Callithrix jacchus: one gene and its partners. The protein of the gene in region 3 interacts with the protein of the main gene of each other region in a pairwise test. Links are inferred from orthologs where the notes say so. Each region holds a gene or a part of one and is shown on either strand. Other genes may lie near its edges.

What was found. The genes of interacting proteins can lie anywhere in the genome.
Region 1: the proteins of GRB2 (region 3) and EP300 interact in a two-hybrid assay, tested with the Homo sapiens proteins (2 studies listed by BioGRID and IntAct). The link is inferred for Callithrix jacchus from reciprocal best matches to the Homo sapiens genes GRB2 and EP300.
Region 2: the proteins of GRB2 (region 3) and WIPF1 interact in binary tests that used the Homo sapiens proteins (3 or more experiments, as listed by UniProt). The link is inferred for Callithrix jacchus from reciprocal best matches to the Homo sapiens genes GRB2 and WIPF1.
Region 4: the proteins of GRB2 (region 3) and WIPF2 interact in binary tests that used the Homo sapiens proteins (3 or more experiments, as listed by UniProt). The link is inferred for Callithrix jacchus from reciprocal best matches to the Homo sapiens genes GRB2 and WIPF2.
Region 5: the proteins of GRB2 (region 3) and HELZ interact in a two-hybrid assay, tested with the Homo sapiens proteins (2 studies listed by BioGRID and IntAct). The link is inferred for Callithrix jacchus from reciprocal best matches to the Homo sapiens genes GRB2 and HELZ.

What each region holds. Positions count from the first base shown.
Region 1 is NC_133502.1:191,897,695-191,902,852, reverse strand, and holds the start of EP300 (histone acetyltransferase p300), read right to left. Parts: upstream 3,200-5,158; 5' UTR 1,975-3,199; coding exon 1,881-1,974; intron 1-1,880. UniProt on the Homo sapiens protein: Functions as a histone acetyltransferase and regulates transcription via chromatin remodeling. Acetylates all four core histones in nucleosomes. Histone acetylation gives an epigenetic tag for transcriptional activation.
Region 2 is NC_133507.1:54,781,748-54,786,653, reverse strand, and holds the start of WIPF1 (WAS/WASL-interacting protein family member 1), read right to left. Parts: upstream 3,200-4,906; 5' UTR 3,057-3,199; intron 1-3,056. UniProt on the Homo sapiens protein: Plays a role in the reorganization of the actin cytoskeleton. Contributes with NCK1 and GRB2 in the recruitment and activation of WASL.
Region 3 is NC_133506.1:131,226,274-131,230,710, forward strand, and holds part of GRB2 (growth factor receptor-bound protein 2), read right to left. Parts: intron 2,282-4,437; coding exon 2,159-2,281; intron 1-2,158. UniProt on the Homo sapiens protein: Non-enzymatic adapter protein that plays a pivotal role in precisely regulated signaling cascades from cell surface receptors to cellular responses, including signaling transduction and gene expression.
Region 4 is NC_133506.1:93,036,333-93,041,542, forward strand, and holds the start of WIPF2 (WAS/WASL-interacting protein family member 2), read right to left. Parts: upstream 3,200-5,210; 5' UTR 3,069-3,199; exon of another isoform or gene 3,044-3,068; intron 2,896-3,043; exon of another isoform or gene 2,745-2,895; intron 1,665-2,744; 5' UTR 1,572-1,664; intron 1-1,571. UniProt on the Homo sapiens protein: Plays an active role in the formation of cell surface protrusions downstream of activated PDGFB receptors. Plays an important role in actin-microspike formation through cooperation with WASL.
Region 5 is NC_133506.1:122,057,130-122,062,050, forward strand, and holds the start of HELZ (putative helicase with zinc finger domain), read left to right. Parts: upstream 1-1,722; 5' UTR 1,723-1,861; exon of another isoform or gene 1,862-2,241; intron 2,242-2,469; exon of another isoform or gene 2,470-2,862; intron 2,863-3,828; 5' UTR 3,829-3,884; intron 3,885-4,921. UniProt on the Homo sapiens protein: May act as a helicase that plays a role in RNA metabolism in multiple tissues and organs within the developing embryo.

The sequences.
Region 1 (5,158 bases), on a different chromosome or scaffold from region 3:
TACAAAAGCCCACTTGATACATTTAGAACTTTTGTAATTATTCAAACATATTGCAAGTAGCAAAACAGACCAGATATGAAGAAAGCAGTAGCACACCTGAACATAAGCAGTTAAACAATACAGCTCCAAGATGAAGCCGCTCAAATCAGGACTCATCAAGGTAAAGTGTATTAAAAAGCTTCCCCTACTTTCCAAGTCTCTGGCTAACTCCAACGTAAACTCCATGACATTACACCAAAACTAAAATGCAAAAAGTACCACATTTCACAAACACTAAAGGAACACCACAAAAATCTACAGGTGAATAAGTGTGTAAAGATGATCTAAAAAATCCTTCTGAATGGCACTTTCGTAGGTGCAAAGGAATACAATGATGTGCGTCTATGTGCGTGAATTTTGAAGAAAAAAAACAGCTAAAAAATATCCTTGGAGACTACAGTACCTTCATAGAATAGGTACAGATCAAAGTACATGCATAATCAGTGTTACAAGCCTTAAATAGAGGAACTCTGCAAGATTCCTATTTCCCAATTGTTGCAGGTTAACTGAAATTCATTTTACATCTTTCTTATAAAAGCAACGAATTCAAAGCATTTGTTCCGTCTTTCCATATTCACTCTGAAATGAAGCCTACTTAGAAACATGTTCTCCAAGTTCTCTACAAACTCAAAGGGTACATTTAACTCCATTATGCACTCTCACTGGCAGATGGAAGGATGACGTTGAGCCTGTTCTCAGGGAGTTAAAGAGATGCTCCGTAGTAAAGGGGAACATCTTGTGGGCTGTCAGATGGCCAGCCATTCTTCATCTTCATTATTCCAGCAAAGAAAAGGTCCTCGCCCATCAGGATAACACCATTAAACTAACTGTAAGAAGAGAATGAAGGGGATGATGGAAGAAGTCTCCCTGAACTTCTCTGACAAAGGGGCTGGTCCACAACTGAATGAACTGAAGAATCCGGAAAGCTTTTAAATAAAAATCTTGATCTCCAAATGTGTTTAAAAGTGTAAAAAGACAAACACAAAAACACCAAAGCTAATGCACATTTTAAACTTTTGTATAATCAGTTCATGTTCGTAGTTCCTGACTGGAACTCTTTCAACTTCTAACGTTGATTTTCAGGTACATAACTCCACAAAATTGTTTATCTTTTTTCTTCCTCCTAAAATGATAAAGTGAATGCAAACTACAAAGAACATGACCCTGTTCTCACAACCTGAAAATCCAGAGTTTCAGACATTTTGGTCTCACACCAAAACTGGAAGATGTGAGATGAACTGCACTCCATATTGATTCTTACAGCAAATAAGAAAAAGCAGGGGGAAAAAGCTAAGAAGGGTAGGTAAGACAAAACAATTGTTAAACTTCGCTTCTAATCTGAAATCTTGGACCTCGCACACACAAAAATCAAGTTTTTACATCCTATTTAACAGAAAATATTCTGCAAAGGAGAGAAAATTTTGAAAAGGGTGGAAAGTAGAGAAAATAGAGTAAGTACAATGAGGAGAAAGGATTCGAAATTCTTCATTTACCAAGAACAAAAAAAATTAAAACTTAAATTGCATAGAAGCTCTTACTCATAAATGCACTGGCATTTCCCAAATTAAACTGCACGGGAGCAACAATACAGGCCATTTCTATACAGCACCCACTTACGAGCTCTAATTCCAGAACACACACCGATATGACACAGTGTTGCAACCAATGTATTAGGAGGCAAAGAAAATGGTTGGGCTACTGGACGTCTTCGATCAGCTCATTCAAATACCTTTAAAATTAATTAAGGGACAGGGAGAGAGGAAAAAAAAAAAATGGAATAAAGGAGCACCGAGTAGAAAAGATTAAGAGGAACGTGGAAGGCCGGGGCTGCCGAAACTAACCTGTGCCATCGCTGGCCGACGCCGAGAGGGCCGGAGATGAGAGTTTAGGCCGCTTGGCTGAAGGCGGCCCCGGTTCCACCACATTCTCGGCCATTTTTAATTCTTTCGGAGATACAGGCGAGGAAAACCAGAATCCTCAGGAAATCTCTTCGGCCCGGGGTCCCCGCCCCGCACCCAGGGGTGGGCTGGGGGGCTCCGACGGCACCCGAGGGGGTGGGGGAAGTTCCTTTTTCTCTTCGCCGGGTCGCAGTGGCTGGAGAGGGATGCGGACTCGATAGAAAAGGTAGGGGCAAGTGCTAGGGGCCGGGCCTGGGCCCAAGCCCGGAGGAGGGCACAGGAGCACAAATTCACCGAGCGCGTCTGCTGCGGCGAATTCCCGAGAACTCGCGGCTCTAGAGGCGCAGTCCCCGGCCCGCCACGGCCGGCCCCTGCCCAGCCGAGGTCTCTCGGAGCTCCGCCGCCGCCATCAGCCTCTTCCTCCTCGGCGCTGTCCTCCTCCTTCTCATCGCCACAAGGAGGCGGGGGCGAAAAGGGGGGAGAGGAGGAGGCGACGAGAGACACTCACCTCCTCCCGGTGCCCCCTCCCGGGCCTGCGCCCCCACCCTCCGAACCCTCCTCCTGCCGCTGCCGCCGCCGCACCGGCCCCTAATGGCCGCAGAGAGCTCAACCGAGCCGAGAGCCAGGCTGGCGCCGCCGCCTCACATCGCACGGCGGCCGGCGGAGGCGCGGCAAGAACGCCAGGCGCGGAGCTGGCCGGCCCAGAGGACCGAGGGGGCCGGGCCGAGCAGCGCCGCCCGCCCGCGCCGACGCCAAACCCACCGAGGAGGCCCCGCTCCGGCGGCGGCGCAGGCGGCCCCTCCTCGCGCCGCGCTTCTCTCCTTCGCCCTCCTCTCGCGCGGAAAATAAATAAATACGGCCGCCGCTACGGTCCCCTCCGCCGGCGGCCAGGTGCTGGGAGAGCCCGCCCCCCCGGGGCTCCGCTCGGGGCCGACCGCGACGGCGGGCGAAGGCGCCGCGGGGCGCGGGGTTATGTAATGGTCCCCCCTAGGCGTCGACGCCGGCCCCGCTCCCGGGCCGCGGTGGGGGTGTGTGCGGACGGGAGGGGGCTAGGGGTCGCCTCAACCCGTGCGCCCCAGGCCCCCTGCCACTGTCTCGGCCCCAGCCGCCTCTCTCCGTCCCGGATCCCCTCCGCACTCTCTGGCTCCCGCAGTTCGCACTCAGCTCGGCGTCCCGCTTGCCCACTCTCGCCCGCTCCCTCTCGCCTCTCTCCCCCCCAACCTAGCACACAAACAAGATGGCGGCTGTTGTTTCTTCCCTCTGCCGAATCCTCCTTACAGGCTAGCGGTAGCGGCGGCGGCCGGAAATGAGCCAAAGGAGGGGGGTGAAAAAGGGGAGGGGCCGGGCCTCCGAAGGGAGGCGGGGCCTAGGCCCGAGCCGCTCACACAATGGGGGAAGTGGCGCCGGGGGCGGGGCCGGTTCCAATCACGGGATCCGCCCTAGTCCCCAACGCGGTTAGCGCTTCCGCAAACTCCCCCGGCGACACCCTGTGGCTCCCTTTAAAGGGGAGGATTTTTAAGAGGGGAGAGGATTTTAAGGGGGGAGGGGTGGGGGCGGACTCAATCTATTTTCTGTCGGTCGATAGTTACGAGGGAAGGTTCCTGGCTTTGGTCTCTTGTAGGGGACCGGTGGGAACCTGGGCGACTGAGCCCGGGAGCTGCGCCGAGGAAGACGCCAAGTCGCCACTTAGATGGCCAAAGGGGAGCGCCCGTGGGGCGGCCCTGCTTCCTGGCCTTTGAGTGGCGGGTCCCCCAAACCCCGGTCGAATCCATAAGCCAGGGTGTACCCACTGCCGAATACCCAGTGCATCCTCACTTCTCCATTGGCTTCCCAAAGGGAGTAGTTCACATCCAAAAAGCACGTTGATTACGAGTTGTTTTCAATTTCCTCTGAATTTTCCTTTTTTTTTTTTTTTCCACAACGAGCATATATTACTTTGACCAGAAAACAAAAATCACAGCAGTGGGAAGGAAGATGTTTCGGCACCAGACCCAACATTTCTTGCCCTCCACGTGTGTCCGTCCATACGCCCCTACCAGGTAGCACTCTCACCACAGAAGTCTTTCTTTTCTGAACACGCCTGGGACCTGAAGACATTTTTAGGTTTCTTTTTTCTTTTTTTTTTCCGTCTGCTCCCAATAGATCAAATTAATAAAAGACCACGTCAAGCCAGTGCCTTATCTAATGTAATTATGGGAAAAAGCAAAAATGTGGTAAAGGTAAGGATGGAAAAAAGCAAAAATGTAACGGGGGGAAAGTCCAGTGTGTGGGACCCAGCAGTTTTGCAGCTGAGGTCGGAGACATGCTTTCGGGTTTCTACACATTACCCTGTGTTTTGACCTTGTGTAAATTGTTACTGGAGAAGGTGGTATGGGTGTAAGTGACCCCCAAAGAAACTCACAAACTATTATCTATTGATATGGTTTAAAGCTTTTTCTCAAGCTGGGCTCAGTGGCTCACACCTGTAATCCCAGGAACTTTAGGAGTCCAAGACAGGTGGATCACGAGGTTGGGATTTGAAGACCAGCCTGGGCAAGATGATGAAAAGCCACCTCTACTAAAATACAAAAATTAGCCTGGTGTGGTGGCACGCACCTGTAATACCAGCTACTCAGAGGCTGAGGCAGGAGAATCGCTTGAACCCAGATGGCAGAGGTTGCAGTGAGTTGAGATCCTGTCACTGCCACACACTCCAGCCTGAGCGACAGAGCAAGACTCCCTCTCAAAAAAAAAAAAAAAAAAAAGTTCGCGATGGCTCACGCCTGCAATCCCACCCCTTGGAAGGCTGAGGCGGGTGGATCGCCTGAGGAGGGGGAGTTCGAGACCAGCCTGGCCAACATGGTGAAAACCCGTTTCTACTAAAAATACCAAAATTAGGCGGTATGGTGGTACACACCTGTAATCACAGCTACTTGGGAGGCTGAGGCAGGAGAATCGCTTGAACCCGGGAGGCAGAGGTTGCAGTGAGACGAGATTGCACCATTGCACTCCAGCCTGGGCAACAAGAGCGAGACTCTGTTCCAAAGGAAAAAAAAAAAAGCTTTTTCTTTTATTTTATATCTCATGTTCTGTAGTTTGTATTTGCGAATTGTTGGATTTTCTTTGGTTTCTGTTATTGTTTCTGTTTGTTTTGTTCTTTTTTTTTTCTTTTCTCTGTTTTCTAAATAAATGGTGGGATGAATAATAAAAATAAAATAAGAAAAAAGAAGTGATGGGATGAA
Region 2 (4,906 bases), on a different chromosome or scaffold from region 3:
CGCAGAATAGCATCACTCAACTAACTCAATTCTTATCGGATTCAACATACAAAGGAAGAGAAGCTTTGGTACACCTAGAGTTTTCATTACTCAAAACTAGACAAGGGACAGACTTAAGTTATTTTGACTTGATCTACATACCTATAACACCTACAGAGTGAGGAACAACGGACAAATGTCTGCCCTAGCAAACAAAAGTTAGGGCTGAGTGAGGACGTATTCATCTGTCACAGGGAGGTGAAACCTAAACTGTTCCTCAATTGAGGCAGAGATGGTGGGACATGATGTGAATGTGCTTATTAATCTTTTGATGCCTGGCATACAGTAAACACTTAATAAATATTTGTTAAGTGGAGAAATGAATGAAGGGCTGCCTCCATCCAGTTGGACGCCTCTGAATTCCCTGTATTTGGTCTGTACCTTTTTCACCTTATTTACCAAATTCTGCCTGCATTCCTGCTGTTTGAAACTGTGTGTCATTTCTACCAGAAAGTTAGCACTCAGGTGCAGACTTCATCTCTTTCTGAGCTACGTCTTCCTTTCTACCCACCTACCTAGCACAGAGTATAGCTAGAACCTCTAGCAGGGACCTGAGATGCTCAATGAGTATCTGGCTTGATTCCAACTGTGACCTGATTCTATGTGGGTCCCTGCTAGCCACAAGGCATAAATAAGCCTACCAAGCCTACAAGAACCATGGTATAATTGTGGATTGCTGGGAAACAGCAGCAGAGAGACCTCTGTGCAGAAACCATTAAGAATTCAGTAGACTGCATTGGAGGGAAGGCTTCAGGAAGACCACAGCCCTGGGAGTTAAATGCCAAATGTCAGATGCTTGAAAGCGAAGGGGTTATAGCAAAAAATAAAAGGCACTTTTGTTTCATTTATTCTCTCAGTATGTGTTGTGGAAACCACCTATGTTCCTAAAATTACAACCATAGTTAGAAACACCTTGAAATAGGAAAGATAATGACACAGACCCAGTAATGAATACTGTCTGCTAAAAGGGGTTCATGTCTGGCCATAGCACCTGAGACAGTAAATGTACAAGGTCAGGGCATACTACCCTCTCTTCACCACCCACCCTTCTGCCCATTATAGTTTTTGTGTCTTGGTGCTATGCTACACACTGCATGGTATTTGGATAGTATCTGTATCACGCTGCTTTTGCTGCTTCCTTCACACCCCTTTATCCTACATGATCCTCATACCCTGTAGTGGACGAAGAGCAAAGATTATCAACCCCATTTCTTGGATGAGGTAAATGAGGCTCAAATTGCATGATATGACTAAGGGCACCAGAAAGTTGGTGAATATATTAAAGACAATTTGTAAAATGAACATATCCCCCCAGCTGGCATGAATTTCCCCAGCTGGAAATAATCTCATTCTCTTTAAATATCCCGGAATTTGATCTTACCTTGCTTACAAATCTCTTTGCACTACATCACACAACCTAAAAGAGTGATGTTTTCATGGAGCCAAAGATATGACAGGGGTTGGTAGGTCCCAGGAAGGAAGATAATATTACTGAACTAGTTTCATAACATCTACAGAGTTTAGTCTGAACATTTCTATTCAACAGGTAATAGGCTCTCACAGGTGGCTGGGGGTTTAGACTATAGCACCTCCAGGTCTTGGAGAAACGCAGCCTTGTGGGGCTGACAGGGTCAGGTAGACACACACAGTCACAGTAGAAGGCAGTGTTGTGTGCACTGGAAAGGGATTAAGAGGCAGAGTGCTGACAGCCTATCAAGGGGTTTCTCATCTCAAGAAGTTATTACAAAAAGGTGATTTACAAACTAAAGTAGAACATTTCTTGGTGTTATTTTATCCATTACAAAAATAAGCAGTTTTGATAACGAAAAAACCTACCAACGACTCAAAATGAAGCTACAGTATTGTTTTGCAATTGCTTTGGGAAGCTGGCAAAAGAAAACCCACCCAACGTGGAATATGTTCACGGGCTCTGCGGCTGCACCCTCCTCGAGTCTGAGGCTACATGCAGCCAGGGATGGGGGAATGGGAGTGAGGAGCGGTCCAGAGGGGGTAGAACGGACACACGCTTTTCAGTGAAAGGGACCAAGTCCACTTGGTCACTGAGCCAACTTGAAAGGCTTCCCAGAGAACTCAGTAAGGCCAGGAGCCCGTGGCTGAAGAAGGAATATTCCAATTTAAGCAGGACCAGAAGACCTCGCCAGGATGAGTTCCTCACACAGCCACACCCTTTGTTAATCGCAAAGACCTCAAAGTCCAACCACCAGTGATCTGACTTGGAGCTTTTAGCGATTAACAAAAGCTCACAGCGACTGGGTCAGCTGCTTTCCCTTACATTCGCAACGTTAACAGTTCTTTCTTTAAAAAGAAAAGTGTGTGTAGTGGAAAAAGGTAGGGGACGCGAGACTGCAGTGAAGCTGTCTGGAGAGTTCGGGGGAGCACCCCCCTCAACCATCCCCACTCGTGGTGAAAAGTCGTGACGGGGACTGGCCGTGCCTCTGAGGCCGACGCAGACCCCTAACGCGCCAGTCTACACGGACCTGGAGCAAGCGGGCGGCCCGGGAGCGCCGGGAGGGAGGCGGGCTGGAGCGCGGGAGGGGCACGGTTCCCACAGCCAGGCAGGCGGGCGGTGCCAGAGCTTGAGTCGGCCCCAGGGGATGCCCGAACGTCCCCCTCCGTCCTAGGTGGGGTGTAGGTGCGGCCCCAGGACATCGCCGCGAAGCCCCTACTCGGGAACTACGGAGATAGTGGGTCTCGAGCCCCAACGGGCGGCCCTGGGTCCGCGGAGCCCAGCGGTGCGCCCAGCCCAAGGCGCGGGACCCCGGCAGTCCACCGCCCCTTCCTCCCGGGGCCATCGGCCAGAGCAGAACGCGCGGACCACGGGCCCGGAATCGCGCCCACCGCTCTCAGGGGACGCGGCCTCGACGTCCCCGGCCGCCCCGCCCGCATCACCGTTCCAAGCGGCGCTTCTGAGCCCCGCCATCGAGCCCAGCCCCACCCGGTGTCCCCCCCCCGGGACCCCGGAACCCCGGTCGCGCCAGACGCGACGCGTCCCTTACCGCACAGCGGCTCCGGACGACTCCACTGCCCCGCGCCGCGCGGGGCATTTTTTCTGGGAAACTTCTCCCGGGGTCCGCAGGGCTGAGCCGGGCGGGCAGGAAAAGCTCTCAGCGCCGGGAGGCTGCGACCATCCGGGAACTTCGCCGAGATGTGGGCCCTCCCCCTCGGCGCCCCGGCCCCCCCCCGCCGCCCCGCCACATGTGGACGCGCCGCGAGGCCCCGCCGGCTCGCGCCCTGCCCTCCGCCCGCCCGCCCGCCCGCCCCGCAGGCAATGGGGCTCCGCGCCCGCAGCCTCGGCCGGCAGAGGAGCGCGGCGGGGCGTGATTGTCGGGGCTGGAGTCAGTGGTTTCCCCCGTCCCGCTCCCCTGCGGGGCGAGGGGGCCGAGGCCAGGGCGCCTGGGACAGGAGTTTGCAGAGGAGAGGGAACTGGAAGGGGAGTAGCTCAGGGCCTTTCCCCTCAACCCTTGAATCCTCTCTACCTCCTCGTGGCTGCTGGCGTCAGTCTCCCCCAGCCGGAGGGAACACCTTTTCCCACGCTTTCCCCTCTGCTCTCAAAAACAGCGGGTCCAACTTTCAGATGTCTGAAAATCAAATTCATTTTTAAAGATGGATTTAAAATCTGAGTGAACCCCACGGAGACCCAAGGTCCGTATGCATCTGACTCCTGCCTACTGTGTAGGGACAACGTGCTACTCTTCCCTCGAAAAGATGCCGCTTCACCCCACCAGTCGGTCGGAATTGAGTCGTTTTGCCGCCAGTGGGGATGGATTTATCCTCAGCCACCCACATCCTTAAATACGGTAGGATCCACAGCAAACGTGGAGAAACGTGAAGCTCTACTCCATTGCCAGAGCTAACTCCTGCTCATAAGGAGGCTCTGTCCAGTTCAGAGAGCTGCCACCTCCAGGCCCCAAACAAAAGTTAACACTCACTAAGACGATGCGGCCGCTGGGAGAGTGCATTTGAAAGTTCTCGTCAGTATAGTAACAATCGGATCATATTGTTAAAATATCAAGGCTGTGTATCGGTTTGAATAAAAGCAGGAGGGTGGGACTATAAAACCACCTTTGCAAAATTATAACTGAGGAAATTGTGACAGTGAAAGAAATCAGACCTACAACCTACTCTATCTTGCTTCTAACCTTTAAAGTGTACTTGTTCACTCCTGGGTGTAGCCATTGAGAAATAATTCAGTTTATGTTTTAACTGAAACAAAATTGGTAATATCCCTTTCCCAGAAAGATTCCCTTCTTACCTGGGGACCAGTCTGCCTCACAGGACTAACAAATTAGCTATACGATTAGAAATTACAGTTTAGGGTTCATGCAGCCTCTCTCCCGCTCTGAAAGTCTGAACCTCCCCAAATTACTGCTGGGGATAACAATACTGTTGTAAAACCTAAGATCAGTGGTTGAGATATTTTACAGACCCTGAACTCAGTTACCAGATACCACCCAGATAGGTAATCTGGCTTAACCAGTTCTGCCATCCCACCTAGGAACAGAAAAGAGCAAGAAAAACTCACTTTGATCCCCCACCATGAGTCCATCTCCAATCTGACCAATCAGCACTCCCTACTTCCCAAGCCCCTACCTGCCAAATTATCTTTAAAAACTCATCCCAGAATGCCCAGAGAGACTGATCTTAGTAATAATGAAACTCTGGTCTCCCGCACAGCTGGCTCTGCATGAATTCGTTTTTATCCATTGCAATTTCACCGTCTTGATAAATGGGCTCTGTCTAGGCAGCGGGCAAGTTGAACCCATTGGGCAGTTACAAATAGATGCACTTTAAAATTGTTACACTATGCTGAGGGGGCTTCACGGGATCCCGGCTTTCTCTGCTCCTG
Region 3 (4,437 bases):
GGTGAGGAGGGCTGGAAATACTTTCAACAATTCTCTCGTAACTGGGAATACTTCAAAGTCATGTTTTCTGCTCAGGAATTTTAGCTCCACTCATAGGGAAAAGGTCTCTGAGCAAAAGGACATACTGGGACAATAAAAGAGGTCCAGGCTTTGAGACCCAAAAGTGTTTCCATCACCAGATTTCACCCTTTTATACTGGCTGGCAAAACTGGCAAGAGCGTGACTGTCTGGTAGTAGCTAACAGGGTCTGTCATAGGATATTTGGCTAAAACACCAGCCCAGCGAGGGCGCTTCTGCCTAACCTGTTCACCTTGCCCAGCACTAAAAAGGTACTCTCGGAGTGCTTGTTCAATGAATGAATGAGTCCCTCCTTAATTTCAGTCTTACAACTAAAGGCTTCAGAAAATCAATCCGGCAGGTGGCAGCACTGAGCTTCAAGGCAGCCACTGAGTACAAGATGCCCCTCAAAAAAAAAAAAAAAAAAAAAAGACTGCTTTTTCATGCAAGACAAAATGAGGAAGGTGAGAAAGCTTCATTAGTAAGGGTATATTTACATGGTACTGTTGGCCCACAGAGGCCCACTTCCACCCATGCAATGCAGATGGTTTCTAAAAGAGCCCAGGGCCCCAATAATGAGCAGTATGTTAACTACTATGTTTCAAATCACAGGCTCAAAACATCCTAAAACTAAGAAACATCTGAAGACTGTTGATTCTTGAACCTCTTTTACAAAGGTGTGTGTTGCTGAAGACAGTCATGACACCTGCTTTGTTTCTAAAACAATAAATACACTAAATCCTTAAAAGATTCTGCTTGAGATGGCTGGGCACGGTGGCTCACGCCTGGAATCCCAGCATTTTGGGAGGCCGAGATGGGTGGATCACCTGAGGTCAGAAGTTTGAGACCAGCCTGGCCAACATGGTGACACCCCATCTCTATATATATTAAAAGAAAAAAGAAAAAAAAAGATTAAAAAGAGTAAGATTCTACTTGAGCAAATGGAAGCTTGGGAGCTTCTGCTGAGCAAACAGCCTCCAGTCGAGCATGTGGCTGCCTCCTGGTTCTGGCTGCCACCCAGCGATTTACTGCTTGTTCCCCTCATCTTATACAGTCTCAGTTACATAAACCCACCCCAAGATGCTCTTCATCAGACCCCTTTAGTATATCAATTTTGGCTTTTTCATATGTTGGGAATAAAGACTAACTCCACTTAAATATATTTACAAGGTATTACTAATATCATGTGGAATCTCTCATGCCTTCCTTTAGAAAAAGAACACATCCGGGGGTACAGTGGCTCACACCTGTAATCCCAGCACTTTGGGAAGCCGAGGTGGGTGAATAACGAGGTCAGGTGTTTGATACCAGCCTGACCAACAGGGTGTCTACTAAAAATACAGAATTAGCCAGGTGTGGTGGTGGGTGTCTGTAATCCCAGCTACACAGAAGGCTGAGGCAGGAGAATCGCTTGAACCTGGGAGGTGGAGGTTGCAGTGAGCTGGGATTGTGCCACTGTACTCCATCCAGCCTGATGACAGAGCGAGACTCCATCTCAAAAAAAAAGTAAAAGACACAGAAATAACAAATTAATTCCAAATTCTTACTTCACAGATGAGGTGTGAACTGTTTCCTTCAAGTGCTAATTTCTATTCTCCAAAATTGTTCCAAGGTGGCAGAACTTCCTTCTTCACCCATCTGAACTTTCCAAAGGGGAAACCCAAGCCCCAAATCCCCTGTGGCAGCCTTCTTAAGTGACTGTGAGGGCCTAGGATGGGGCTGGTGGATTGAAGCTAGTGGACTTGAGCGAGGCAAGCCAAGGCAGCCAACAGGCGCTCCGCTATCCCATTAGAAAGAGTTGCGGGAATCCCTTGAAGGGCAGCAGCTCGGGAGTGCTGCGCACTAGGGAAAACTGGCAGGCTTGGGCTGGCTGCAGAGAGCTGCTGCTGACCTCCTGAAGGCTGTGTCCACAGGGGAATATACATCCAGTGCTGCTAGAACTAATTTGAGAGGAGCCAGAAATGAGGATTTTAATGTGAAATGAAGATACTGTTTAGGCTAAGCCTACACCATTTTGTGTAGCCAGCCACCTGTCCGAAGGCGTCACAATTTGCATCAGTCAGAGACAGGATTCCAGGCAACTACAGCAGGAAATACTTACTTGACAGACAGGGAGAAGTCCCCAGGAGCGCTCTCACTCTCTCGGATAAGAAAGGCCCCATCGTGCCGCTGTTTGCTAAGCATTTCTTCTGCCTTGGCTCTGGGGATTTTGCCAAAAAACCACCTAAGGAAGGAAGGCAATGGTCAACATCTGCTTCCCCACAAAGAAACGGGAAATCCAGCCTTCGAACTGTGAGGAACATAACACTCCTTGCCAGAGGAAGGGGCCTCCCTCCCCATCCTCCAGCCTCACAGTGCCCAATATCAACATTTGGTCAGGTCCCCCAGAGATGGACCTTCAAATGTCTTTACCCTACTCTATTTCCCAGAAAGCAACTCACCAAGGCAGTAACTGTGGGTCACTCTTTTTATAGAGGAAGCCATTTGCAAACAGGCCTCACAAGCCAAAGCCCACTGGACTTCTTACTGACTCATCAGAAAGGCACCCGGGGAAAGGCCCAGGCCTTTGGGTTTGGTATACAAGATGAACTGCCAACGAGAGACTGGCCCCTTCCTGCAGCCATGTGATAAGGTCGCAGCTTTACCACAGTGGGAGTAAGGGAAAGTGGGGAGGAAAACTGGAAGGCCCAGGATCTGGAGGCAGGGTTACTTCTGCTAATAGCCCAAAGGCAAAAGGTTCAGACTGTCTTAGAGTGGCCTCCACCAGTAACTAAGGTCAGCATTTCTCTCAAGGCCTGCCTCTGGGGTCACTGCTCAGAGTTCAGCTTTCAGAAGCCACCAGAAATATTGTAATTTACCATAGGTGCAGCAGCTAGCTGCAAAATTCAAAATTTTGAAGCAAGTTACAGGCTCTTCCGCTCCCAATTGCTGATTCACCTTGGCCAGAAGAAAAAGTGGCTAAATTCATGAAAACCTGTGAAGCAACTGGCTGTTGCTTATCAAGAAGAAGAGGAGAGGAACACTTCTACATGAGCTTGGAGTCAAACTGCCTGGCTACTTCAAATGAAAACTATAACTAATTAGGAAGGAGAAACTGTGAAAACCATGTTCTCTTCTCAAAATCATCTTTAATTATCATTTTTAAAAGCAAAAGTTATTTACAGCTAATAAAGACCTATTTACATGAAAATTGGCATTCATTTAATATGGTAATTATAATATAAAAAGTCCTTTAATGGACCAAATAGTCCATTAAAGTTGTAAATCTAACTTGCATATCTTATTTATAAGTAAGCATATTCAAGATGTCCCTAAAATAATATACTCAAATTCAAACAGAAAGATGTGAACTGTAGGAAGGACATGCTGAGAAGCTGCCCTTAGTAACTCTGAACAGTCCGGTGTCTGCCTACTGGAAGCTTTCTCATTTCGCATACTCTACTGCCAGGCTGTTGAGGAGCGGGGACCATAGATCCTCCTGCTTCTACAAATCACTCAGGGCTAAGGCCTGCAGTGCCTAGAAATCAGGCCACACAAGAGGTATCACATTATCACTAGAACAGAATTCTCTCTAAATATAAAAGGACAGGCTGTAATCCCAGCACTTTGGGAGACTGAGGTGGGGCGAATCACTTGAGGTCAGGAGTTTGAGACCAGCCTGGCCAACACAGTGAAACCTCATCTCTACCAAAAAGACAAAAAATTAGCCAGGCATGGTGGCGGGCGCCTATAATCCCAGCTCCTCCTGAGACTGAGGCAGGAGAATCACTTGAAGCTGGGAGGCAGAAGTTGCAGTGGGCCCAGATCGTCCATTACACTCTAGCCTGGGCAATAAGAGCAAAACTCCATCTCTAAATAAACAAACATAAAAGGACAGTTAACAGTTTTGAGACAATTTAAATCTTTTCTCATATTGGGGGCCTTGAGCTTCTAATATAAGTGTATGCAGCATGCATCTGACTGGGAACAGCAGTGAAAATCCACAGATGGCCTCAGCTTTCACTACCCACACTGCTGGGAGAGGGTGAAGCTTCTTCATCAGCCAAACTCACTTTCTTCCTAGACCCCCAAGATCTTGCCACTAGGCAGGTTTTTTCCCTCTTTAAGGTGTAAAATAATGAATATAAATTGAAATAGCCTAGATGTACGTAAAGCAAACATAAAAAGCAACACCCTTCCCTTAAACTCCCCAGAGGCAGCACCTGTTGGCGGTTCTAGCACGTAGGTTTCCAGACTTTTCTGTCTGGTACACAAATACATAGATATGGCTGCTGTGTTTTCTTGCCCCCAGCTTAATATTAATGCAATTTTATTTTCAATTAAAAAAATAAATTGAAGTATAAATCATATTAAAAAAAAGTACTCTAATTGGAATTTAAA
Region 4 (5,210 bases), about 38 Mb from region 3:
CCCAGGAGTTCAAGATTGCAGTGAGCTACGATATGATCGCACCACTGCACTGCCGTCTGGGCAACAGAGTGAGATCTATCTCTTAGAAGGAAAAAATTCCCAAGACTTTCAGGCACACTTCTTCTAAGCTAAACAAGTTCACTTATGAGCAAAGTGTTCAGCGTATTATACCCAAAGAAAAAGCTAAAAGTCGGGGTTTCAAAGGATTAAAAATAATTTAAAATTGTCCACAAACACACTGATCTCTACCAACTGACAAGGACACAGCAACTAGACCTAAGCATAAGGCTCAACTGTCCAAAATACTATTTTTCAGTGAATTCTCAAAGAATCCATGAAGAAAGTCAGTGTCTGTCAAGCCACCACAAGGGCTGGGTGTGGTGGCTCACACCTGTAATCCCAGCACTTTGGGAGGCCAAGGTATGCAGATCACTTGAGGTCAGGAGTTCAAGACCAGCCTGACCAACATGGTGAAACCGCATCTCTGCTAATACAAAAAATCAGCCAGGCATGGTGGTGCGTTCCTGTAGTCCCAGCTACTTGGGAGGCTGAGGCAGGAGAATCACTTGAACCTGGGAGGTAGAAGTTGCGATGAGCCAAGATTGCGCCACTGCACTCCAGCCTGGGCAACAAGCACAAAACTCACTGAATATGCATCAAGTCAAAACCAATTATTCCCTGGTCGGCCCGTGAGCACACACACAAAGGAGCAAGGCTGAGAGGAAGAAACAGAAAGACATGTTTCCTTTTTTTGTTTTTGTTTCTGTTTGAGGCAGAGTTTCACTCTTGTTGCCCAGGCTGGACTGCATGGCATGATGTCGGCTCACTGCAACCTCTGCCTCCTGGGTTCAAATGATCTTCCTGCCTCAGCCTCCCAAGAGGCTGAGATTTACAGGGACCTGCCAACACATCCAGCTAATTTTTGTATTTTAGTAGAGACAGGGTTTCACCATGTTGGTCAGGCTGGTCTCAAACTCCTGACCCCAGGAGATCCACCCGCCTTGGCCTCCCAAAGTGCTGGGATTACCGGAGTGAGCTACTGTCTCCAGCCTTCTTTTTCTTTAAAAGACAGGGTCTTGCTATGTTGCCCAGAATGGGCAAACTCTTAGGCTCAGGCAATCCTCTTGCCTTAGCCTCCCAAGAAGCTGGGATTACAGGCAGGTACACCATTGTCTATCTTCTAAATATTAATATCTCAATCTCGTTTTTCAGAGATCACTTCTATGCAACCACTTAAAGACCCCATGTGTTAACACAAGCTTTTAGAGGGAGGGACAGATGAGACCTGTATTTCAAAAGGGAAAAAAAAAAAAAAAAAGTTTAATGATTTGCCTTGAAGGTAAATCCATAGGTAGGCCAAAACCTTCCTTATTCCCTGAGGTTCTCTTCTGATTTGTAAAAGGAGAACAGAATAGCCAAAAACATTCAGTAAGACAGTCAAAAACCAAAACTGTAAGGCAAAAATAACACGATGAAAAAGGAATGGAGACCCTGGGAGAGCCCAAAGCAGTCACAGATTACTGAAGTCCTTTAAAGAATACAAATTCTGGGCCAGGCACGGTGGCTCATACCTATAATCCCAGCACTTTGGGGGGCTGAGGTGGGAGGATCACTTGAGACCAGGAGTCACAGACCAGCCTGGGGAACAGAGCAAGACTTCTTCTCTACAAAAAAAAAAAAAAAAAAAATTATATATGTATATGTTAGGCAGGAGTAGTGGGCCCACCTGTGGTCCCAGCCACCGGCAAGGCTGAGGTGGGAGGATCACTTGACCCCGGGAGATCGAGGCTTCAAGGAGCCATGATGATGTCACTGCACTCTAGCTTGGGTAGCAGGGTGAGACCACGTCACTTAAAAAATAATCATCATAATTCCATCACATACCAGCTCCTTGCCCCAATATTATCTAAGATATCTAAGAACTTTCCAGCCATGCGAGGTGGCTCAAGCCTGTAATCCCAACACTTGGAAGGCCGAGGCGGGCAGATCACCTGAGGTCAAGAGTTCGAGACCAGCCTGACCAACATGCTGAAACCCCATCTCTACTAAAAATACAATTAGCTGGGCATGGTGGTGCATGCCTGTAATCCCAGCTACTCTGGAGACTGAGGCAGGAGAATCGCCTGAACCTATGAAGCGGAGGTTGTGGTGAGCCGAGATTGTGCCACTGCCCTCATCCTGGATAACAGAGCGAGATTCCACCTCAAAAAAAAAAAAAGAACTTTCCTTCCTGATCAAAAACTCGACCATACATACTGCCATGCTGAACACTTTAAGATTTCCATCGTGGCGTGGCGCAGTGGCTCACACCTGTAATCCCAGCACTGTGGGAGGCAAGGTGGGAAGATCGCTTGAGCCCAGGAGTTCAAGACCAAACTGGGCAACAAGAGCGAGACTCCATCTCAAAAAAAAAAAAAAAAAATTCCATCTTCCCTCATTTCGCACCACTTCAACATGAACCCTCAACTCTAGACGTTCCAATGTGCATCTCAACATTCTCAATCCAACCTTTAACTCTATCGTGATTCCTTTTCAACCAACGCTCTCAAGATTCCCTCCAGTGTAAGCAGTTTCCCTAGCCATCTTCCAAACCTCTACCTTTCACCTAACTCAATCCCCAAAATGTCACACTGGGCTCCTCACCCACAGCATCCTACTAATTAGCTGTTTCCAACAGGTCCTCCGTTCCCGTCTCCCTTTTTGCGCACGATTATCTCGTTCCTCGCCCTGAGTTGCCTCCTTACCTCACCCAATCCGTCAGGAGCCCTATTACCTGTCTCTCAAAATCCTTCCTCCCCATTTTCCCAGTATGCGCTAGCCCCAGACCAATAACCGACCATTCCTCCCTAGACTTCCCACATCCTCTCTCTTCCAGGTTCTTCCGATCCAGCCCCTAGGCCCCCGCCCCTCAAGCCCCGCCCCCAAGACCCTTCTCCCCCTCCAGCCCCTCCTCCAATGCCCCACTCTCCTCACGCCCCGCCCCAAGCCCCCCTTCCCCGGCTTTCCCTCCCAGGCAGGTCCGCAGGTCATTTCAGTGACGGACCCAGCTGCCCTGGCCTCTTTCCAACCTGGCCGCAGCTGCTCTGGGAGCGAATCCTTCACCGCCTACACTCCGGCTTCGTCTTGTACAGCTCGCCCCCCGGCAAGCTCTCCCTCTCGCCGCCGCCGCCGCCCCTTTTGCCAACCCGGAAATGGATCTGCTCCCACCGTCCCCAGCATCCGCGAACAAAATGGAGGCGGGGGGGAAAAGGAGGAGGGAGCAGGGAGTGAGGAGACGCGAGACGCATGCGCTCCTGGGAAGCTCGCCCCCTGCCGGCGCAGTTACAGGCGGAAGCGGGTGAGTGGCTGCCATCTTGGGAAGGTCGCAAGGGTTCCGCTTACCAGATAAAAACAGAGTTTGCAACGTTAGCTGCAATTGGAATTACCTGGCAAGATTTAAATAACTATGATGCCTGGTTCCCACTCCCGGAAATTCTAATTTAATTTCGGGGTGCAGTCTAGGCATTAGGAAATTGTGCAGGTGATTCTAACGTGTTGTCTAAGTGGAGAACCACTGAGCGAAACAGTCATTTTTTAATATACTCCTTTCGTCTTTAATCCGCCGCACACACACACCCTCCCTGCTAAATATCTTTCCCTAATCTCGAGTTAACCAAGAACCCGCATCAGCCAACCTTGCACAGTCCAAGCAGTCAAGCTCCGGTTGGCATAGCAACCGGCTGCCTCTGCTCACAAGTCATCCTTTACGTCATCTTAGCCACCTGACCCTCGTCTCTTCTTTCTCGGGCTGGGGTTTCCTCCAGCTTCCAGGGCTGTCGGATGGTGCTATGGACTCCTCCAGCTGCTTGGGCCACGGAGAGAAATCCTGTGCCCTCCTTGATGGAGCTGCTGTTAACCCCTGACAGCTGACTAAGGATCTCTCCCTAGTCCACCCTGAAAAGCGCTTTCCATTATAGCTTCAAAATACTCTTTGGTTTAATTCCGTTCCTAGCACAGAATCCGAAGTAAGGGGACAGGACTGGGACTTAGTCACCATTACTTACAAGCTGTGTGCCCTTGGGCCTCAGCTACCCTATCTGTAAAATGGGTCTAATAGTGCCTGTCCCGTCTGTCTCATAGAGTTGCTGGAAGGCTGAAATCAGGTAATGAATGGGAAAAGATGTAATAGGCCGTAAGTTATTATTTTTGTTTTCCTTCTGTTCTGCCATGAGTAGTACTAGGCACCACCCACTACTAGTCAAGTAAATGTCACGTCTAGTACCTGCTAAACACCAAGAAATGGCTGCAGAGGTGACTAAGACAGAGTCTCTGCCCTCAGGGAACTCACTACATTGGTGGGTAGACTGGTGCATAAACAAGCTAGTTGACATACAAGTCAGCATGTGACTAGTGCTGTCGGATATCAGAGAAGGGAGTGACTAATTCCTGCCAAAGAATGGAAGGAGGTTTCCTAAATGGTTTGGAGCTGGACCTTGAAGGATGAGTGGAATTTTATTACTAATAAGAGAAGGCACTGAGCACATTGCAGGCATGGGATCAGGGACACAAGGTAAAGATTTTCAACTGTCTACATCCTGCATGCCCATAGGTGGGGCGATGGAGCCAGGGAGACAGCAGGTCTAAACTCCTTCCCAGAGCCTCCCAGCTCTTCAACCTCATCTCCTGCCTATTCCCTCCTCACTCACTTTACATTATGAGGACCTGATTTCTATCACTGCAATGTACCCCATACAGCAGTTCCTATCCTCTGCCTCTTCCTCATTTTTCTTTCTTTTTTTTTTTTTAAATGGCGTCTCCCTCTGTTGCCAGGCTGGAGTGCAGTGGCACCATCTCGGCTGACTGCAACCTCTGCCCCTAGGGTTCAAGTCATTCTCCTGCCTCAGCCTCCCAAGTAGCTGGGACTACAGACTGATGCCATCACGCCCAGCTAATTTTTGTATTTTTAGTAGAGACAAGGTTTCACCATGTTGGCCAGGATGGTCTCGATCTCTTGACCTCATTATCCACCTCTCTAGGCCCCAGTGTTCCTTTTTTATAACACATATTTTGCAACACTACTATCTGTGAAATTAACAGATAATATAATATGCCTGGATACAAAATTTCATAAAACAAATCAATATGATGTCTTGATTATAAAAAAGACAAATAGGCCGGGCACAGTGGTTCACACCTGTAATCCCAGCACTTTGGGAGGCCAAGGTGGGTGG
Region 5 (4,921 bases), about 9.2 Mb from region 3:
GTGCTGGGATTACAGGTGTGAGCCACGGCGAATGGCCTGAGAATTTGGGTTCTGTATTCCAAGTGTGATGGAGAAGGCTTTGTTAGGTTTCAGCAGAGGAGTCTTGATCGGATTTACATTAATCAAAAGTCACAGGGCTGGTCAGGTGGAGGATGCACTGTAGGTACAGAGTAGGGGCTGGGAGAAGAGGTGGCAGGCCATCCCAGCTCAGGCAACAGGGGGTGTATTTGACAAGGCTGGGCTTGGATGCGCACACTGGACGCAGCCACACAAACTGAACACTTACTTGGATCAATGTCTATGCAAGGCCAAGAAAAGCTGCCTATCAAAGAAACGTGTTTGGGAGGCACAGTCCTTGTCCTCAGCTTATTTCCTGTTTACTTATATTAGGTTGGTGCAAAAGTCATTGTGACTTTTGCCATTACTTTTGCATTAACCTAATAGTAACCTCAGACTACACAGACAGGTGCCATGCAAACTGAACAACCACTGAGTCAGTGCATACCAGTGGCTAAATAAGTGCAAAGGCGGAATTGGAAAAGAAGCACCCGGGGTGCTCCCTGGAAAAAGTTGGAGCCTTCTTTAGATGGGCCAAGCATTCCATTTTTCCAGCAGGAGGGGCACCGCCTCCCCCTAGCCTAGTCCGTGCCTCTGGTGGCTACCAAAGCTGGGTGGTCTAAGAACCTGGCTCCAGGCTCCAGTTTCTCCACTCATTCTGAGCTGAGAAGCAGGTGACTCAGGGGAGGCTGCTCCCCAGCACGCAGCGTTCTTGGCTGGGAATGACTCATTACCTCGTTCCCTCCCTCGCGAGTGACCCGGGGCCAGTCCCTCAATGTGTCTACACCTCACTCTTCTCATCACACCGGGACAACTGCCTGGTGGAGTTTTTGGCTCCCCGGGGGCAGGGCTCCTGCCTGCCACTGTCCAGGTTCCTCCTGAGGCTGCTGATAGGGTCTGGAGGAGCCTAAAACCCTCAGGTAGACCCAAGGCCCAGGCCCTCCCCGTGCACCGAAAGAAGGTTTTAAAGCCGGTGCCTGTGCGTTCTTTTAAATGCAGAGCCGTTCAACAGCATTTTGCACCGAATACAATTAGCAAGCATTCCTGTTTTGGAGGGTTTTCTTTTGGACACCTCCTTGTTGTAAAAACTTGCTTGGGGAAAAAAAAAAAAAAAAAAGCAACTGGAGCAGGCCTCCAAAGACAGCAAATCAGGGACCTGAGGTTCTGGGAAGAACGCGGGCGGAGGGTGACAACGGATCTCAGTCGCAAGGGGGACCTGGGCGGCTGGACGCCGGGGCTCCAGGGTACAGGCGGCGACCGGGTCAGGGCCCAGGGCCAGTGCTCTCCTGCTCGCCCTGCGCAGCCGAAAGCTGGTGCGGTGTCGCAGGGAGAGGATGCCCTGCAGCAGGGGGAAGGCAGGCTAGGGGTGCTCGCCCGAGTCAGAGACCCCAGCCCGCGCCGAGGAGTCTCGCACTTTCCAACGCTGCAGGTCGAAGCCCGGAGACGCCGGGCGTCCCCACCTCCTGCCTCTCGAGCTGGAGCGGCGTCCGGGGTTCTCCCCCGGCCCCGTCGCCTTAGTTTGCCGCCGGACTGGGACCCGCCAGGTGGATCCGGACAGGCGCAACCTGCTCTCCGCCCGGGACCCTCCCCCGAGCCCAGGCGGCCTCCGCGCCCCGCCCCGCCCCGCCCCGGGCCCGCGCCCCCGATTACCTGCCCCGGAGTCACAGTCCACAGCCCGGATGCTCCGAGGCGGGATCCGCGGAGCCCGGAGCCACATTCCTAGGGGAGGGGTCTCCACCTAGAGGGTCGCGGATCACGTTACCCGCCGGGAGGAGGAGACCGCGGGAGGCTGAGTAAACCAGGGGTAAAAAGTTGCATTTGGCTCATTCTTTCTTTCTTTTTTTTAATCGTGCTTCGACGCTGGTGGACTCGGGGACACGCCGTCCTCCCAGTTCCCGGAGCCCGACGGCCCCGGGGCGCTTTCCCAGGGCCAGAGGCACCTCTCCGGCCGGCGGGTGCGGAGCTGGTCTACGGGGCCCTGAAGGCGACCCCTGTTGCCCGCGGGCTTCCTGGAAGCGGGGCCGCAGGAGCAGAAACGCTCACATCCACGCGCACAAATAAATCCGTGAGCTGCTCCGCGCCGCCAGCGGCAGGGAAACCGCGGGCTGATTCAATGCAGACGCGGGGCGTCTGCCCGGGCAGGAGCGCGGTGGGTCAAGAAGACCGGGCGTGGGGGCAGGGAGGCTGGGGCAGGAAAAAGAGAGAAAACCCCAAAGCCACGTTTCAAAACTGCGGGTGAATTTTCAATGCCGGCCGCCCGGGGGAGGGGTGGGGGCCGGGCTGCGGGCGCCGGGGCCGGCTCGCCACCCGGGGCAACTTTCCGGGAGGGAGGCGCGGCCGGAGGGGGCGGCGCCGGCGGCGGGAGGCGGGAGTCGGGGGCCGGGGGGAGTCACTTTAAAGGCTCTTTCTTACCCATAATGCTTTGTGGGGACGTTGACAAGTGGATCCAAGATGGCGTAGAAAGTAATGACAGGTAAGTCCTGACTTCCCCCTTCTCTGCTCCTGGGGCCGCTCCGCGAGCTCCCGGAGCTCTCCGGGGAGCTGACCCGACTACCCTCCGGTGTCCGGGTCCCGGGGCGCGGCGGCCCCGGGGCGGGCTGTGGGCCGGGGCGGCCCGCGGCGGGGCCTGGGAAGCGGGGCTCTTCGAGGCGAGGCCCGGACGCTGGGGCTGTTTACAGCTTCTTCCCTTACTCAGTCCCCGTCCCCTCCGCTGGGGGCCGCGGCGCCCTGGGCCCTGGCCGGGGAGGGTGCCTTGCACGCCGGGCCCGGGAGCCTGCGGGAGGTTTCTCCGGCCCGGGGCACTCTGGGAGGGGGACTCGAGCCTCCCTGCACGTTCCCCTCCTCTGGGTCGCGGCTGGGGGTGGGGAGCGTGCGGGCCTCCCACGCCCTGCTCGATGCCCCCCTCAGGGCTCGGACTTCTACCGGGTGGGGCGGAGGCCAGAGCTGGGGTCCTCGGGAAAAGTGGGTCAGGGGTGCGCTCCCTCCCTCCCCCGCGGAGGGCTTTTGGCCCGAGATTCACTTTCTTCCCCCCTTTCCCCGCCCCCTCCTCGGAAATGCTCTTTGGCCCACAAGCACATCAACAAAAATAAAGATAGGCTCTCTTTTCCTGGAGATTCCTTGAGAGTACTCCAGTACCCTTTTCAAGGGCTCAGAGACTGCAGTCTTACCTAGGGAACTTTGATTCCTCTCCCCCAAATTATTGGAGCCTTCTGCACCCTAGCCTTTGCTGAGAATCTTTCAGACAGGGCAGGAAGTCAGGCTCCTGTGATTCTTCTCGGATCAGGATCCTCAGGTTTTGTTTGCAGTTCAAAAATTGTCATTCCTTTTCCCTCACAACTTACACTTTTAAGGCAAATCATTAATATAATACAGTGTAACTTCAGAGACAGTGGATTCCTGGAGTGGGGGAAGGAGGGAGGAGTTGTCTGTCTTGCCTAGTTTGTTCTTAATTTTGCTCTTTCTTAAACGCATATTAATAAAATTTCCTCTCCATTGCTTTCTGGTTTTGAAAGTAAGGTCAGTCCGGGTTGAAAAAGATAACTATTATGTTTTTTAGTTTTAAGTGCATGGAATAATCTATTCTTTTATCTTACTGAAAGGAAATGTTATAAGGTCAAAGAAACACTCACTTGCAAAGCTACACACTGTACCATTTTTTAACTTTTTCCATTTCAAATTTAGATGCCCTTTCACTTAAGGCTGATAAAATGTTTGCTGCTGATAATGTCTGTTACTGGTGTTGTATAGACACATCTTTTCTATTTGCCTCAGGAATTGGATGAAGTAATTGATCACTAATGAACTACAGTGCTGGTGAGATGTGTAAGGTGAGACTGCAGTTAAAAGTTATTTCCTTTTTTTCCTTCTTTATTTTAATCAATCCGCAAGAGTAAGGCTGAAACTGAGTAATTTGGTGGGGCCATCTTTGTTTTCCAAATATATCACTCAGTCAAATGGGTCTGTGAGCAGGGCTAGATTTAGAAAGGAAAAATATGTTGAATGTACCAATCTTTTCAGTTGCTCTAACATACTCAAACATAGTGGTACTTACTGAGAGCCAAACGTTACTTGCAGCTATTCTTGATCAGTATCTTCACCAGGGGTAATTATAGTTTTCCTAATACAATTTTCTTGCATAACTTTAATTGGATGTCTTAATTTTATTTGTGTTTTGGTGTCTGTCACCTTCTGTACATTTAGTGCTGGTGATTGTGTATATGGATTTTGTATATTCATGATTTGTGGGACTCTTGTAAAGTACACCCTTTCCATTGGAAACAATTAGGCAGGTCAATCACTCCTGGTTTTATTTTCTGAAAAATTGAGTAGTATTTTGTCTCTTTAATAGTTATTTTGAAATAAAGATGATGGTGTTGAGATCTGTTTAGCTTATTAGGGATAAGACTAGTTTATCATTATGTTCTGATCACACATGGTATGTGAATTCAAAGTGCTTCATTTAATCTAATTGGTAATGCTTTGGATTTAAAGGATATTATTGATACGGTGTTAGTGAACAGTTTTCTCTGCTAGAGAGAGGAAGAGAAGTTTGCTACTTTTACATTTTTCACAAGCAGTTTTCTCAACCTAAAATATTTTACTAAGTTTTTTTCTTTTTTTTTTAGAAAAATGTAATTGTGGTCAGTTGATTAGTTACTGTAGTTCCCCCCCCCCACCACATCTGGGCTTCTGGATTTTGAAATCCTCTCACAAATTTTTCAGGTTTGTCACAACATCTGTTTAAGAAGAATAAACTGTGCTTTTTTTCTCTAGATTGAGGCATATCATTGACATTTTGCCTTAAAAAAATAAGGAAAGGAAGATGGATATAGATTGTTTTGTAAGTGCACATACCACATTTTCT